Linked DNA regions of Lytechinus pictus. The protein of the gene in region 1 purifies or fractionates together with the protein of each later gene. This does not show direct contact. Links are inferred from orthologs where the notes say so. Each region holds a gene or a part of one and is shown on either strand. Other genes may lie near its edges.

The links.
Region 2: the proteins of ubiquitin carboxyl-terminal hydrolase 36-like (region 1) and ATP-dependent RNA helicase DHX33-like purify together in Homo sapiens (affinity purification with mass spectrometry; 5 studies listed by BioGRID and IntAct, counting the BioPlex papers as one, with this or other methods). This does not show direct contact. The link is inferred for Lytechinus pictus from reciprocal best matches to the Homo sapiens genes USP36 and DHX33.

The regions. Positions count from the first base shown.
Region 1 is NC_087254.1:19,789,650-19,796,862, reverse strand, and holds the start of ubiquitin carboxyl-terminal hydrolase 36-like, read right to left. Parts: upstream 3,088-7,213; 5' UTR 3,069-3,087; coding exon 3,067-3,068; intron 1-3,066. Other genes in the region: uncharacterized protein LOC129269948, read left to right, coding at 3,990-4,388, 5,286-5,486. UniProt on the Homo sapiens protein: Deubiquitinase essential for the regulation of nucleolar structure and function. Required for cell and organism viability.
Region 2 is NC_087260.1:18,910,289-18,918,083, forward strand, and holds the start of ATP-dependent RNA helicase DHX33-like, read left to right. Parts: upstream 1-4,765; 5' UTR 4,766-4,913; intron 4,914-7,795. UniProt on the Homo sapiens protein: Implicated in nucleolar organization, ribosome biogenesis, protein synthesis and cytoplasmic dsRNA sensing. Stimulates RNA polymerase I transcription of the 47S precursor rRNA.

The DNA.
Region 1 (7,213 bases):
AATTTGAATTTAAGACTTACGCTTGATTTGCAATTGAACATAAGTTTCTTGCAGTGCCCCATAATTATGTTTTGTTATCAGATATTTAACGTGCTGATTTTTCTCGAAAGGTATAATATATTTGTCCTTTTAAACGGTATTTGAATATGGGTACGCCTTTTATTTGTTTTCCACAATATTTATTGCATGTATGAACAGAAGTGAAATATTTATTGTGAAGCACTGTGAATGTTGTGTGATGGTTCATCATCAGACTGAAAGCCTGGTGGATGTGAGGAAGTGGCCTGGATGAAAGAAAAGTGAACATGTGTCCAATTACTGATTTGCATATTCTAAGACAATTTTGTTTCTGGATAAATTTTGCTATGCATTCCCTACATTAAGAGTAAAGGAGAAGTCCACGCAATCAAAAATTCATTTGAATTTAAAGAAAAATAACAAGATATTGCAGGAAATTTCATAAAAACTTTGATTCAAATTTATATAATTACTATTTTAACAGTTCCGTAAATATAACCTATTGTGATCAGATGAAGAGTTTCCTATCGTCAAATCTGCAAAGAATAAAAAACAAAATGCCACAAAAAATAGAAACGAATGTGATGTGAGTGACAACTCTAATTTGCATATCATTGTTTTGTGTATATGACTGTTTTGAGTAAAAACAACAAGGGAAATCACTCTATTCAAATAATTTTTAGTTGATGTGGACTTGACTTTTAACTCTACCCCTCCCATCCCAAATAAGAGTAGAAATAATCTAATCAAGAACTTGAAAATCAAAAGCAGCAATTAAGAAGCAAGATTTGATAAATACAGGTCTGAATAGAATTTCACAAGAAAATAAAAAGAGAAAAAAAAGATGGGTAGGGATGGGGAAGGAATAAAAAAAAAATACCCAGAAAAAAAAAAATCCGAGTTTCGAACCAGGGTCCTCGCACATGACAAAACAATGGCCAACGCATTTGGCCACAGACCATCGCCCTAACAGGAAGGCATTTTTAAGATATATGAAAGAAAGTCCGCTCGCCGCTGTTTCCTAATAATGCTTCGGCAATTCAACTGCAATTTCAGTCATTTCGCGATGGATATTGCCGTGTTTTTTTTGTGATTCCTGACTTTGCTACTTAATGAAATTTCATAATTTTTGTTCAGTCATAAAGAAGAATGTCTATGCTTTATATTGACTATAACATTAATGTGACGCAAGTGTGATTTCTACGTGAAAATATGCTTTGTTTATTCACCTATATTTCTTGAAAAAAAAAAAAAAATTCTAAGCTAAATATCGGTCACCAAAATACGTTAAATGTGCACTTTTTTTCACTGTTCAGTAAATTCAAACTTTTATCTATATAACAAGACCAATCTTAAGAGGAATAAACAATTCTAAGAGCAAAAAACGCTGATTGGAAAGATCGTCTCCAATGGGCTGCTGTCAGCTCAGCTGCTCACTGCTCATTGTGTGACGTCACTCAGCTGGAGCTCGCAAGAGGACCGGTGGAAGGCAGAAATATGGCATGAAAATAAATCATTTTTGAGAGCTGATTTCTGCAATCTCTGATCACTATTTTGAAAAGTGAAGTTATATATCTGATTAGTAATACTTCCCCTTTACAATGATGACCACATAAAGTCATTATAAAATACTTTTGATTCTTTGGATGTATACTTTAAGTGAGCTAACTTAGTCAATGTAAACATATCAAGTTTCATAACAAGATTATTGGAAGATGGCAAGTCGTGAAAAAAAGGAAGTGAACTGGGGGGAATTAAGGTCACTGAATCTATTTTTAGCACTCTCAATCCCCGAAACTGCCTACATGTATGTCCCGCAGGGGTAAGTGAAAAAAAAAACTGTCCCCATAAACAAGGACATGAAGGACAGTCTCAATTTATCAAGACATGATTTGTCTTGGAGGACTTGTTTATGAATATGAGGATATCATAATTGTTTTCTGAGCTGGGACAATCCTACACAGCTGGCAGCCGTCCGTTACGAGGAGTTTTTTAAACATTTTTATCATTTTTTTATTTCTCCTTGTACACAGACGGCTCGCTCTTGTGCAGCCACCATTAGGGGATTAACAATACAAAATCTCCCCGACGGGGCTCATCAATTTTTGTCTTTATTTCATAAAAATATATAAAAGAACTGTACCAAAATAAAGATTATTTTTCCATTTTAGCCTGAAATGCACCAAAACAGGAAAAATAAACTTAAAAGGGGAAAAACAGTGACTTCCCACTTCCAAACTCCCACTTCCCTGGTTGATCTGAACGTAACACATACATGTACATGTGTAAACTTATGGCCATTGAGTCCCTGTACAGATCGAGCTACAAGTTAAACTTCGGTCTCTGTATTTGGTGAGTGGAGCCAACAGAGTTCAGCGGAACAACCAACATAACAGAGACAGAAGCTTTTGGTCTAGGACAATCCCAATTTTTGGACCAGCACTTTCAGAATTTGTATCTGTCTGTGCACCCATGTACAAAACAAATATGAAGCCACTAAAGGAGGGGAGGAAAAACCATGTACTATATAGAAACCTATACCAAAAGAAACTTTGGCCGAAACTTTGAAGTTTTATGAATAAAATGATGTATTATTCAAGGGCATGCCTTGCCACGCATAGCAGCGCATTGCACTTAAAAAAAGGGATTACACAGTCCCATTCATTGCATTTTGTGTAAGTTATGAAAATCTACTTTTGCTGTCAGAAAAATCTGCACATTCTCGTCTTATCTCTGTCAATATTTGATTCAACTTAAGCACCATTCTTTTTCTTATTTCACAAGCTTTCCAATGTTACCAAATTTGTTGGGATTCCTTCAAGATTTCAAAATGTCTCTGTCTCCCCACTCAAACAAGCATTTAATTTTTTTTTTGACAGAACAAAATCTGCATATTTTCCCCTGTAAATTGGAATATCTCCCTCAATATATCAGACAATGAGTTGATGATAGAAGCACCATTATTTTTATTATTTCACAAGCTTTCCAACGGTATCAAATCTGTTGGGATTCCATCAAGATTTCAGAAAAAGTCACCGAACTCCCTACATCAAGTTCAACTTCTACCTCCACTGGCACTGTATTAAATTCTTCGCTATTTGAGCTATGCCTATGCCGCATTGTCATTGCCACAGCCTCACACTCATCATGCTCACTGTGGCCCTTGCCTTGGCAGTGGCATAATGCATGCAGCATGCACTCGTCGTCTCACTCACACTGCACTGCACTGTGTACATTAACGCATGTGCACAAATCACACTGCGTACATATTCAATGACAAAATGCACTGCCACTGGCACTGTCCACGACTGACGTCCGCCACCATCATCATGTTACACGTAAAAACATAAATAGCTCTTTATCTGATTAAATAGCAGTCTCATTTTCCTTGAAAAAATCGATATGTTCATTGTTTCATAATAATCGGAAAGTTTAATAGTGACATTTACTTACCAAAATAGTCAATGTTACACAGGGTTTATTCACAATCAGTCCCACATATTCAACCGTAAACATATCCTTCGCGGAAGCCATTAAACGAGAGTTACTTGAATTTATATTCTCTTTTAACATAAATTATTTTAAAGTAATTTTCAAAGATTCAATATTCATATAATAATATTTTTATATTATTTTTATTTATCAATAGTTGTAATTTGGGAGATGAATATTTTTTTACGGTAGTGAAGCACATTATTATGATATATATTTGAACCTCATATTCACACAAAATGGCAGCGTCCATGTGTGAGGCCAATAATTTTCAGTTTTGTGCCAAGCCCGGGGCCAAGTCAGACACTCTTTAGTTTTTCAGTGTTTGATTAATGCGTAGACTTTACTGATAATAAAGCATTGTATTCCCATAATATTCATTTGATTTACTTGCGTATGTCATGTATAGACTAACTTATTAGTCTAAGTTAATCCATCGAGCTAATCTGCAAGCTGCAGCTGTATCTCCGCCTCCGGTGATGATGGCCTCCACCTTGATCCGCCGGTCGGCCCCGTGTTTTCTCGGGAGGAAAACGCGAGTTTCCGGTCCGTGGTCTGCGGCGCCAACGTGGCCAGCGCCAGCGGGCGCGGATGTAACGTTAGGTGGCCATTCATCACGGGTTCACAGCAGCAGCAAACGGCTGATGGTGGACAGGGTATCAACTATTTCAAAGTTTCTACCCTTCAACAATGACATCATCGTGTGCAACAGACAATTGTTATGCAGAGCAAGAGGACTTAAATTTCTGGATCATTATTCCCAAGAATTTTCTTCAAGTTCAAATGAAAAGTCAGGAATAACTGAAAAGGAATTAAAAAGAGAAATTGACGATTTGACTGACAGATTTATGGAGACAAGAGAACTCTTGGAAGATGCTGTAAGTGTATTATGAACAGATACGGATCCAGAGTCAGAGTCACTTTTATTCATTGTCAGTCCAGGATGCGAATGTGCCTGAAAAATTTGACAAGCAAAAAGAAGGTTTTCAGTAAAACTGATGGACATGATTTCATCCCAAAAAACTTTCATGACTTATTTTAAAAGCAAAAAAGACAAATTTCATTAGATCTACTATGACACTTTTCCAATGGGGAACCTGTTGATCATAGTAAATAGTATGAACTGTTAATGAACAGATTTCCCATGGAAAAAAAAAGTGTAAAAAAGTTAGACCCTCTAAAAGTTAGAGACATTTTGATATATCTGTGGGAGACATGTCATGGTTGTGAATATAAGTTGGAATACATCCCTACCAAGTAACATATCTATTGATCAATAAAAGATTCAGATCTTATCTTTTGAAAAGTTTTTTTAACAAAACTGATAGTCAAGTGTGTTGGAGAATATGTTTACATCAATTTAAGGGAAAAGTAGCGTTTACTAATACTATCTTCATTAGATGTAAATATAGACTTGTTATTTGGTCCGTCCTTGTTTGTGTGAACTGATAACTGAAGGCATGTTTACATATACATGTACATCATATTTGAATCGCATTACAGTATCTTGGGATAGAACTTAGATGCATATTTTTTCTTAGTTGATTTTAATGTGTACATGTGTGTCTAGTTTTGTTTGTTCATCTATTTTTTACATTTCACCCCTCAGGTTGTACACATTCTGTAATCGTAAAGAGCTTGAAGATTGAAGTGTTGATCTTTCAATATGAAAAACAGATTTGTTATGTAGAATGTACTTCTTTTTGTGTGTATAATTTTCTATGGGGTGCTACTAATGTGATGAATTATGAAAGTTTCATTTATTTTAATTGCAGATGGAGGCCAAAGGCACAGTCTACTTCAATGATGATCTCAAAGATGCCAAGGAGGCTGTTCAAGAAACGCTGTCTCAGTTTGAGGATCTGATGGTGAAATTGAGCGAGGAGCAGGAGAGGAATGTGAGGAGAACCATTGGACTCAAGATGGAGGAGCTCCGAGCACAAGAGGCAATGATTGATGAGAGTATGAAAGATTGAATGTCAATTAGAATTTGTATTGGTTAATTTTGTTCAAGGAAAGTCAGATGTTTTCAAAGAATACATTACAAATTAATGATTGTTAATGTTAATATTTAACATGACCTGTATGTTAGGGTGTCATAACATCAAAGGAAGACTTATTAGTTTTTCCATTACCATTTTCTTATAGCTATGAGGCATTGGGCATCATTCCTCGCCATAGCTTTTATTTTAGAGTCTTATTATTACAGGATTTGGAATTGCTGCATCAAATATGCAATTTTTCCATAATGGCACTTGTATCGTCCCATTCAGCAGACAAAAATTGCAATTGTCTCGGCACCAGATAAATTTAGCTATATGTTATAAAGATACCTGAAGATGATAAAGCAATTTTGCAACAAACGCAGAACCCATGAAAACTATAATGTTCCGAAAATTTTGAATAAATTTTAATTGCTCTATATTGTTAATGCATTTACTTGGGGGAATTTCTTCCCAGCTGAGATAAAGCACTCCATTGTGAAGTTATCATATATTCAGATCCCCTATTCAGGGTTAAACAACTTTACCGTTGCTTGTCCATTTATTATCAGTCTATTGTGTTTACTATTTGCTTACCTCTTTAAATCCAATTCACTCATCAGCCTCAGTTTCATGTTAGGCTATATTGCACTTTGCAGAGTTGATACAAATGCTTAGAATTTAATAATTATATATTTTCTTGTAGTAAAAGAAAAAAACATCTTACAAAAAAGCATTCACAACACCAACAGAATAGGTATTTCACAAATGTTACCGGTATTTGTAATTTTTGCTAGTGTGCTGATAGTGAAACCTTGTGTGCCCCTTTTCTTTTTTATTTATTCAGCCAACACAACAGGGTCTTGTTGAATTCTTTCTACCGCACAAAGTATACTCCAAGATTATGTTTTGTTATATAAATATTACTTTTCTGAGAGGAAGGGCTATTTTAAAGTGCTGTGTGTTTTGCAGATTGATATCTTACTTTTAGCCTGACAGAATTGGAGATTTGTTTGGACACAGTTCATTCTTTGTATCATTGATTTGGTATGTTGTATTGGAATGGATTCCCCCTTATGATCAATTGCTTTTTTTTTACCTGAATATTAAAAGTTCTCTTCCAATCATGAAGCCAAAGTTTTGCATGTCTTATGATCTGAGAGGTATCAAGGTGCCTGCAAAGTTTCCTTGGTAATGTTATTAGTATCAGACAATCTAGCAAAGAAACAGTGAAAACATTTAAGAAATCATAAAAGATGTATGGAATTATGTAATCATGCTAATTAAATTGAATGTGTTTGATTGTTGGTAAAAAGTAAATCTGGCAAGTGTTTGACAGATTACTTGGATATAACATGCTTCATGATACATGTGACACCATGTGCAAGTTAACTATATTTGTGAAACACATGTATGAAGTACTTTATGAATATAAATGAGAAATGTTGTATGAACATTGTATTTTGAACATTAAACTATACTAAACTTGATAAAAAGTATTTTTAAAAGAGCTTACTCTGTGATTTGTCTTTGTCTTTCCCTTGTTGCCCCTATTCAATGTGTTGATTACTATGGTAGTTCTTAATAGTTGAAGGGTTCCATTCTCTATCTCTCTATTGTCCCTTGTTGGGGGAAGGAGAATTTTGAAGAAAAACAAATCCATCTGACTTCAATATACATTTCAAGGTATATCCACAAAACTGTTATGCACATCCTGGTTG
Region 2 (7,795 bases), on another chromosome or scaffold:
TCATCAAGTTTATTCGTCTGAAAAAGCTTTTTGCCAAATGAGGTCAAAATTCGGATATTTAAAAAAAAATGTCACAAATCTATGCATGCATGCATATACCACAAAGTGCCATTGTCAGTGTTTTTCTATATTTTTGATAGCTTAAGTGCCTTTAAAAGAGTTTTGTAATAATTTGTCATGCAATTCAGCCTCTCATATTGAAAGTCATACTACAGCTATAAATCATGTTCCATATTACATTTTTTAAACCCAGTATTGTCATTTTGAAAAATTTATCATCATTTCCCTTCTTATTTAAATATTGCAAGACTACATCATTTCAGGTCTGTATAGATGACATGTCCGTTTAAAAATTCTCATCAGAGCCTTTTCAACATACTTTTCAGGATGCTGGTGTCGTACTTGGTCTTTAAGAGGATTATGCGTCTTCATACAAAGGTCAACTTTGTGTGACCTCTCAAATTATGCCAAAATGTACAGATTTGTTTGCATGTTGGTGTCGTGCATAACCAACTTTGTATGGAAGAGATAAGGAGAGGTTCATTGGATCAGTGAAAGATACCGGTGAATCAAATGAATTGACATGATTTGGAAAAAAACTATATTATTTATTTTTGCACATGATGATCCATGTTTAATCTTTGTGGAGGCATTTTTCAAAGCAAGCATGCTGTATATATGACAAGGTGTGATATTTTCAGTCTCTGCGTACAATTAGTTTACTATTGGCAAATCAAATTATTTGTTGATTAAAGACATACTTGTACATTTGTTATCTAAACTACTGCAAGCTTTAATTGACCAAGGTGTTAGAATTTTTTATACATTATGTGAAATAAGGATTTTTCACTTTTTATTTGTCTCTTAATCAACTAGTAGCATGATATTTTTATAGAGCATTATGATAGTTTGTACATCATGGACAGTTTTGAAATTTGTATTGAAGCCATGAACAGTAACTGGAATGTTTAAATTGCAAAGATTATTTCCGTCTTCCTATTTTGTAGTAACAGATCAAATCCAAATTAATTTTGATAAATATATTTCATGAAATCAAAGTACTGTTAAGCATCTTCGAGAAACTTCATTTCTATTTCAGTATATTGTCTTCTAGCTCCAAGGTAGCTAGATACTATGTTGTATAGTAAGTTCCGCAAGAAGGTTGTAAGTGCTATTACTATAATGACTTGGTACATTTTGTGGACTAGTTCAGTGAATTTGAATTTTTACGATGAATATGAGAATTTCTGTTTTTCACAATCAGGAAAATTGACCTGTTTTGGCTAGCTTTTGCTTGTGAGGCTGCAATCTTCATGACACCTTTGTTGTAGATGACTGCAAAATTGCCGATGTCAATTTAACACTAGCTCGGAATCTATTAGGTCCACACCAGTTTGGAATCAAACCGATGCTGTTTTGATAATTGGTGTTGTATAAACATGTCTGGTGTTAGACCAAAACCAAACTGGTGTTTAACACTTCTCTGGTGTGGACATACATAGATTCCGGGCTGGTGGTAAATCAACACCAGAGTTTTTTCAGTGTAGCATAGTTTCAGATGCAGCATGATAAAGTGTTGAGATGATGCTTGAAACATCGCAAGCAAAAGTTTGCCAAATGAGGTAAAAGCCATGCGATTAAAAAAAAGGTTTTTTTCTTTATCATCAACTTATCAGATGGCATGTCTTCTGTGATGTCATGAATATTTTTTATTTTGAAGAATAAAAAAATGGATTCTGAATTTTAATTGAATGTTACTTCAAACCTCATCTTCTTTTAAACCATGAAATATATCTTCCTGTAAATATTATTCTGAATAGTGGGCTACTTCATGCCAGTAATGTACATAACTTAGCATGTTTTCAAATTTCCATTAATTGATTTCATGACACACATTGTACTTTATATTGATTTTTTCTGGCTTCGAAGTGATATTCATCTTATTTTAACCCACCTTTGTATAGTAGTGAAAAAGCATTTTGAATGTATTTATTTTGTTGTGTTTACACTGAAACATTTTTATTGTTGTCTGTGTCGTGGAAACAAGGCTTTATCACTATCATTGTTATATATATTATATATATTAAAACTTAACTTTTCAATAGCGGTGTGATGTATGTGATCCAATGCTATGCAACTTTCAAAAAGAGATCAGGATAAAGGTCTGATTTCAACGTTGTACCCTTGTGAATGTTGTTCTTTCCCCTCTTCCTTTGTAAAATACTTCTTGTCGTGAAAATTTAGAAAAGCAATATATTGTAGTGCACATATACATATATAGATATATCTTATGTTAACTGTGTTTAGCAAGAATTTGGAAATGACATGGAAAATTCTCCGGCGTTTTTCAGCCTAAGGTGATATCATTTTCTTTCCCCATTTTCTAATCAGAAGTAGCTTTAGAATGGTTATAAGATTTTAGAGAGGAAGTGTAAAAAGAAAAAAAAATGATAACGTGGTGGTTTGAATATTATTATTATAGCATGCCTCATTCAGAGGGAATGATTTATGAGTTTAACCAATAACAAGCATCATAAAAATAATTCTATTCTTGTATATTTCCCTTTCGTATTATTGCATAAAGTTCTTCGATAAAGGGGGATTTCGAATAATTTGGTGGAAGCAAGTAGCGATGTACGAGATTGTAATAATAAAGTCATCTTAGCTTTTTCATGAAAAAAAAATGGAGAAAGTTTTGTTTTTTGCTTTGATGTTTATTGAAAAGTTTGAGTGAGGGGGAGAGAGAGAAAGAGAGGGGTGAGAGACAGTGGGGGTGTTCCGTATGTTTTCTTCCAGTTTAAAGTCGCTGAAAATAAAGGGGAATGGGCAAGGGCAATGAGAGGGAGGGAGAGAAGGGTGTAAATAAGTGAAAGAGAGAGAGAGAGAGAGTAACAGTGAGGAGTAGCATTGAGATGAATTGGATGGAGGGGTGGAGCAGAATTTAAAGAATGAGAAGAGGAAAAGGGGAGAGAGATAGAAAGAAGAGCAATATTCTGGTTTCCAGTTTTAAAGTTGTTGAAAAGGAAGGGGAAGTGGGCGGATGCCCAGAGAAAGAGAAAAAGAAGAGAGATGAAAGTATGTTGGAAACGATCGTAAAGTGTTCAAGTGGAGTGATAGAGCAACAGCAAAAGTTGAATAGTGAAGAAAGGAAAAAGCAGAGGGAGAGAGAACAGTCATATTTCCCATTTAGATTTGAAGAGAGGAGGGAAAATAAGCGAAGGCAGTGAGAGAAAGAGATGACGAGAGTGCCATGGAGGTCACGATGGAGGTATTGGTTACGTGTTCGAATGAACGGATGGGGCACATATTTGATGAAGGGGAGAGAGAGGGAGAGAGCAAAGGAGATTTCCAAAGGAGGAAGGGAGAGAGTGAATAGGGGATGGTAGAATGGAAATGGGATGGAAGAGGACAGTGCGGGGAGGGAGAGGGAGCACAGCCTGGAGAGAAGATCGAAGAGGAGAGGGAATTTGACAGAGAGGGGGGGGGGGGGCTATAGGGGTGGAGCTGCATGGGGGGAGGGAAAGAAAACGGGGGAAAGAGGGCCGGGAGAAAAGTAACACAAAACGGAAAAGGTGAAAATAAAAGGATATGGGAATGAACAAAGAACTTGAAAGGCAATCGATAGAAAGGATAAGGAAAAAAATATCGGGAGAGAAAAAAAAAACTTTGAAACTTCTTCATCACCCAAGAGTGACCAGAATTAATGAGAATGACTTCTAAGAATACAACATTTATATGTTTTTTATTGCTCCTCTAATGTATAGAAGGCACAGCTATTCACATTCAGCTCATTAGAGTGGTGGATCAGGGGGGGGGGGGTAGTCTGCTGATCCATCACAGGGGCAGCGGGAACGGGGGGGGGGGGTAGCTGGGGGGGGGGGGGCTTCAGCCTCCCCCACTTTTTTCCAAAACCGTGTACAAAAACGTAAAAATTACCATATGATTGTGATTTTTTGCATGGTCAGCCCCCCACTTTTGGCTCAGCCCCCCCCCCCCCACTTTAAAAACCGTTCCGCGGCCCCTGTATCAATGTAATGAATGAAAGTTTTAAAAAAATTGGACATTAATTTTTAATTACAATGGTGTTATTTATTTTCATTACTTTTCACAATTCAAGAGCCCATCAAAGGTGAAAACAGTTTTCTGCCCCCTTTATGGCAATGAATCCCGTTACGGCGCCGCCACCCCCCCCCCTCTTCTGCTAAAATAAACCATTTTTTTTGGGGGGGGGGGTGTTCTATAGAGAAGACCTATATTTCTTAAAAAGATCGAGACAAGAAATTCTTGGCTCGGCCGCTCCACTTACTCGCATATGGAAAGGTTTATGAGCAGTCATATCAACTCTTGAATTCCAGCCAGAGGTTCTAGCCCCTCTCTCGATACTTCATTGACAAAACAATTTGAAATTACGTGCAGCTATTTCACACCCTTTTCTTGCCAACATGGCCAAGGTGAGTTGACAAGAGCAGTTAATAAGGCTAAAAAAAAAGGGGGGGATGACGTATCCTATGTATATCAGACAATATTGATTAAAGGTGCTCGAAATTAAAAATGAAAATGTGTTTTTACAAAAAGAAAATGTTTAATTGATAGGCCTACAATCAATTGATAACAATTTGTTCTAATGTATTTCCTAATCATTCTTTTTTTTCATGTTTGCAAATTAGGACTTTATTACTATTATTACTATTTTTTTTTTTTTTTGGGGGGGGGGGTTCATTTCTATGACTGGATGATTGGTTTTTTTTTCTTTCAGCATTAATTTGACTTGCGCCATCTGCGGTAGCGAAACAAAAGGTGAAGAAAATAAAACTTCTTTACAGTTTTTGTCACTCGAATAAAATCTGGATTACAGTGATTATTCCACCCTTTTTTAGAACTGGAAACTTTCAACGTGCAAAACTCACCTACAGGTATCCAAAATAAGTTTAAGTAATGATTTTTTTGTAGAAAAACTGAAATAAAGTGGGGATTTCGATAGTGTGGGTTATGCATGTTTCTGCGTGGAAGGATAGAGACCATATTGTGCAGTTATTGTATGGGTAGCCGCTTTCGTGGAGTGTCGCATGGGATGCGTATTAAAAAAAGGCTCTCGACTGAGTCGACTCGTTCACGTTCGGACCTAGACAGGAATAACCGTCGTTTCTGGGGATTTATTCAACAATTTCTGACATTTTACTGTAATCCCCATTTACCGACGGTAGGGTGTACGTGTGGGCTCGCATGTGTTCTCATTCCCTCCCTTTTGTCAATTCACAGTCCAAAGTTTGATGTAATTTTACACATCGAATTTACAATCTAAGTAAGGATGTATAAACAACAAACTTTTAATTATTTATATTCCAACATTTAAATACTTTAAACGATATAGATGAAAAAGGCATGAAAAATATACTTTACCGATGTTTAATTGGGTTGAACACGATAAAAATGGTCAAAATGGCAGCCAAACTATAAAATATTTACAAACGAACGTCAACAATCACGAATGTGATATCGATATTGCTTTCGATATTATACGATCTGCTCCATATGCGAACGAAACCGAAGATAAACGATACTAGTTATACTAGTACTAGTACTAGTTATAATCGCGATATATCGATTCGAGACATTAAGTTAATAACGATAATGACGTCATTCAAGATGGCAACTTGCAAGAAAAACCGTCAGGTCAGGTGAAAATGTCTTAGATGACAGATTTCTCAATCATCCAGAGGATTTTTTTCAATAACTCCGGCCCAAGGTATGCAATTACTTAATTTATTTATATTTCCCTGATAATGGAAACCATGAAACTTTCAATTTTGCTTAAAAAACAGTTTTAAATCGCGATCTATAAAACGCTAGTTCACTATACGTTGGCTGTAGGTACGGGGCCCCATCCCCTTCAGTCTATGTATGGTGAGTGGAGCCAACGTAGTTCAGCGGAACAACCAAAATACAGAGACTGAAGCTTTTGGTCTAGTTCGGACCACTCACACAAGCATGCGAGGTTAGTTGTACTGTAGGATGGGGGGTCGGGTGTCCGGACACTTTATATTTTTGAAGCCTTCTTTTTTTGTCTTTGGATTACACTAAAAATATGAATTCAATACTTGTAATCATCTTCTATTGTGTTCTTTATATAATATTTCCTAACATTTTGTACTAAAATAAAAATTAATGAAACTTCGCTTTCAAATTTTTCCAAATGACTTTCTAAAATTGATCGTCCGGACACACAACCTGTCCGGACACACAACAACTGGGTATACTAACCTCGCACAACGCATGTCATTTCATAATGAATTTTGACGTTTTCATTCATCACACGAATGTGAGAGAATGATGAAACACGCCAAAATCTTCACTGTTCACAATATACTAAAAAAGTCTAAATTTATTCATCTAGGCCTAGGCCCAAATTTAATTTTAAAAATATGCTCGAACGTAAAGGGATTTTAAACGCTCACCTCCAAATCTCAGCCAAGATACTCCGTCCGATCCTTAATACTGCGGTGGAAATTACGCAAACAACAATCGAAATGCGAATTTTTCCTATCGAACAGTCTACTTTTAGATTCAAGTCGTCGGCGCATTAATAGGAAATTGTACCAAAAAAATCAACAGGTTACATCTCAGTTTTCAAGTATAATCGCTGATGGCGCTACATCATAAAATAACGCTGAACAGCGGAAAAAAATGCGGAGCGCCTAGAACGCAACCAGCAGTACAGCTGATCTGACGTAAACAAGCAAGTTCATTAAATAATATCGCGCGCCCTCTGTGCGTATAGAGAAAACCAGCGAATTAGGCTATTAGCTCCATGCCTGCTTCGAGTTCGACATCAAGAAAAATCATCGATATAAAGTACCAGAAAGACAGAGAGGAAATTAGATTGGCTTCATATCGTTTGGTAAGTTTCATATCCAAAGCTTACTTGATTTAACATGTAGTCTTGTAGATCTATTTCTAATTTTTACAAAAGAGGAATAAACTTATTGCAAGTGCCGTGCCAGTGGTTATCCTGTGCACGGCGGCGGTAATGTACCCGTGGTTGGTTCGGACTAGCCAGGAGGCTTCTTTTCTAGAGAATAAAAATCATTTACTAACGTATGCTTACTCTCCATGGAGCCAGGGATTACGTCCTATTCATGTGCGTGTACCGCGAAAAAATCTGAAACTTTCGCCCCAGAGTCGGAGATCAGATTTCTACTTTCTGTTCTATCAAGTATCAAATTATGTAAACGGAATACAACTTCTTTTCTGACATTTCTACGAAATTGATTTCACTTTTAAACAAGAAATCATTAAAAAATTGAGAAAATGTGAAAAGACAGAGACTTGCTCGATGTTTACACCCCCATCTTGTTTCTTATTGTTCTTTGCCAACGTTATAGACGCTACTTGTAGTTGTAATATGGTTATTGTTGGTCAATTTTTTAATTTTAACATTCTATCATTTTTAAAGCATAGTAAATGAATTTCCAAGCTCAATAAAAATCTCAATATTCATTTTGGTCGGCTTATTGTTGGTTTTGGGGTTGCAGGTCACAAATAATGTAGCTATCACAGCCGGTTCGAGATTACGACACTCGTATCTGTCACTGTGATAAATTGGGGAGATCAGTTACATAATATTGACAAAAACTCGTACTTTAAAAAAAATAAAAAAGGTATTTAAGGGAAATAAGTTTTATGGTATACAAAATAATTACATTTAAAACTTGCATCATGTACTTTGAGGTCCATAATAATCCATTTTACAGAGACGATCTTGTCACTCGTACATCCCCAAAAAAGTCGCCATCTT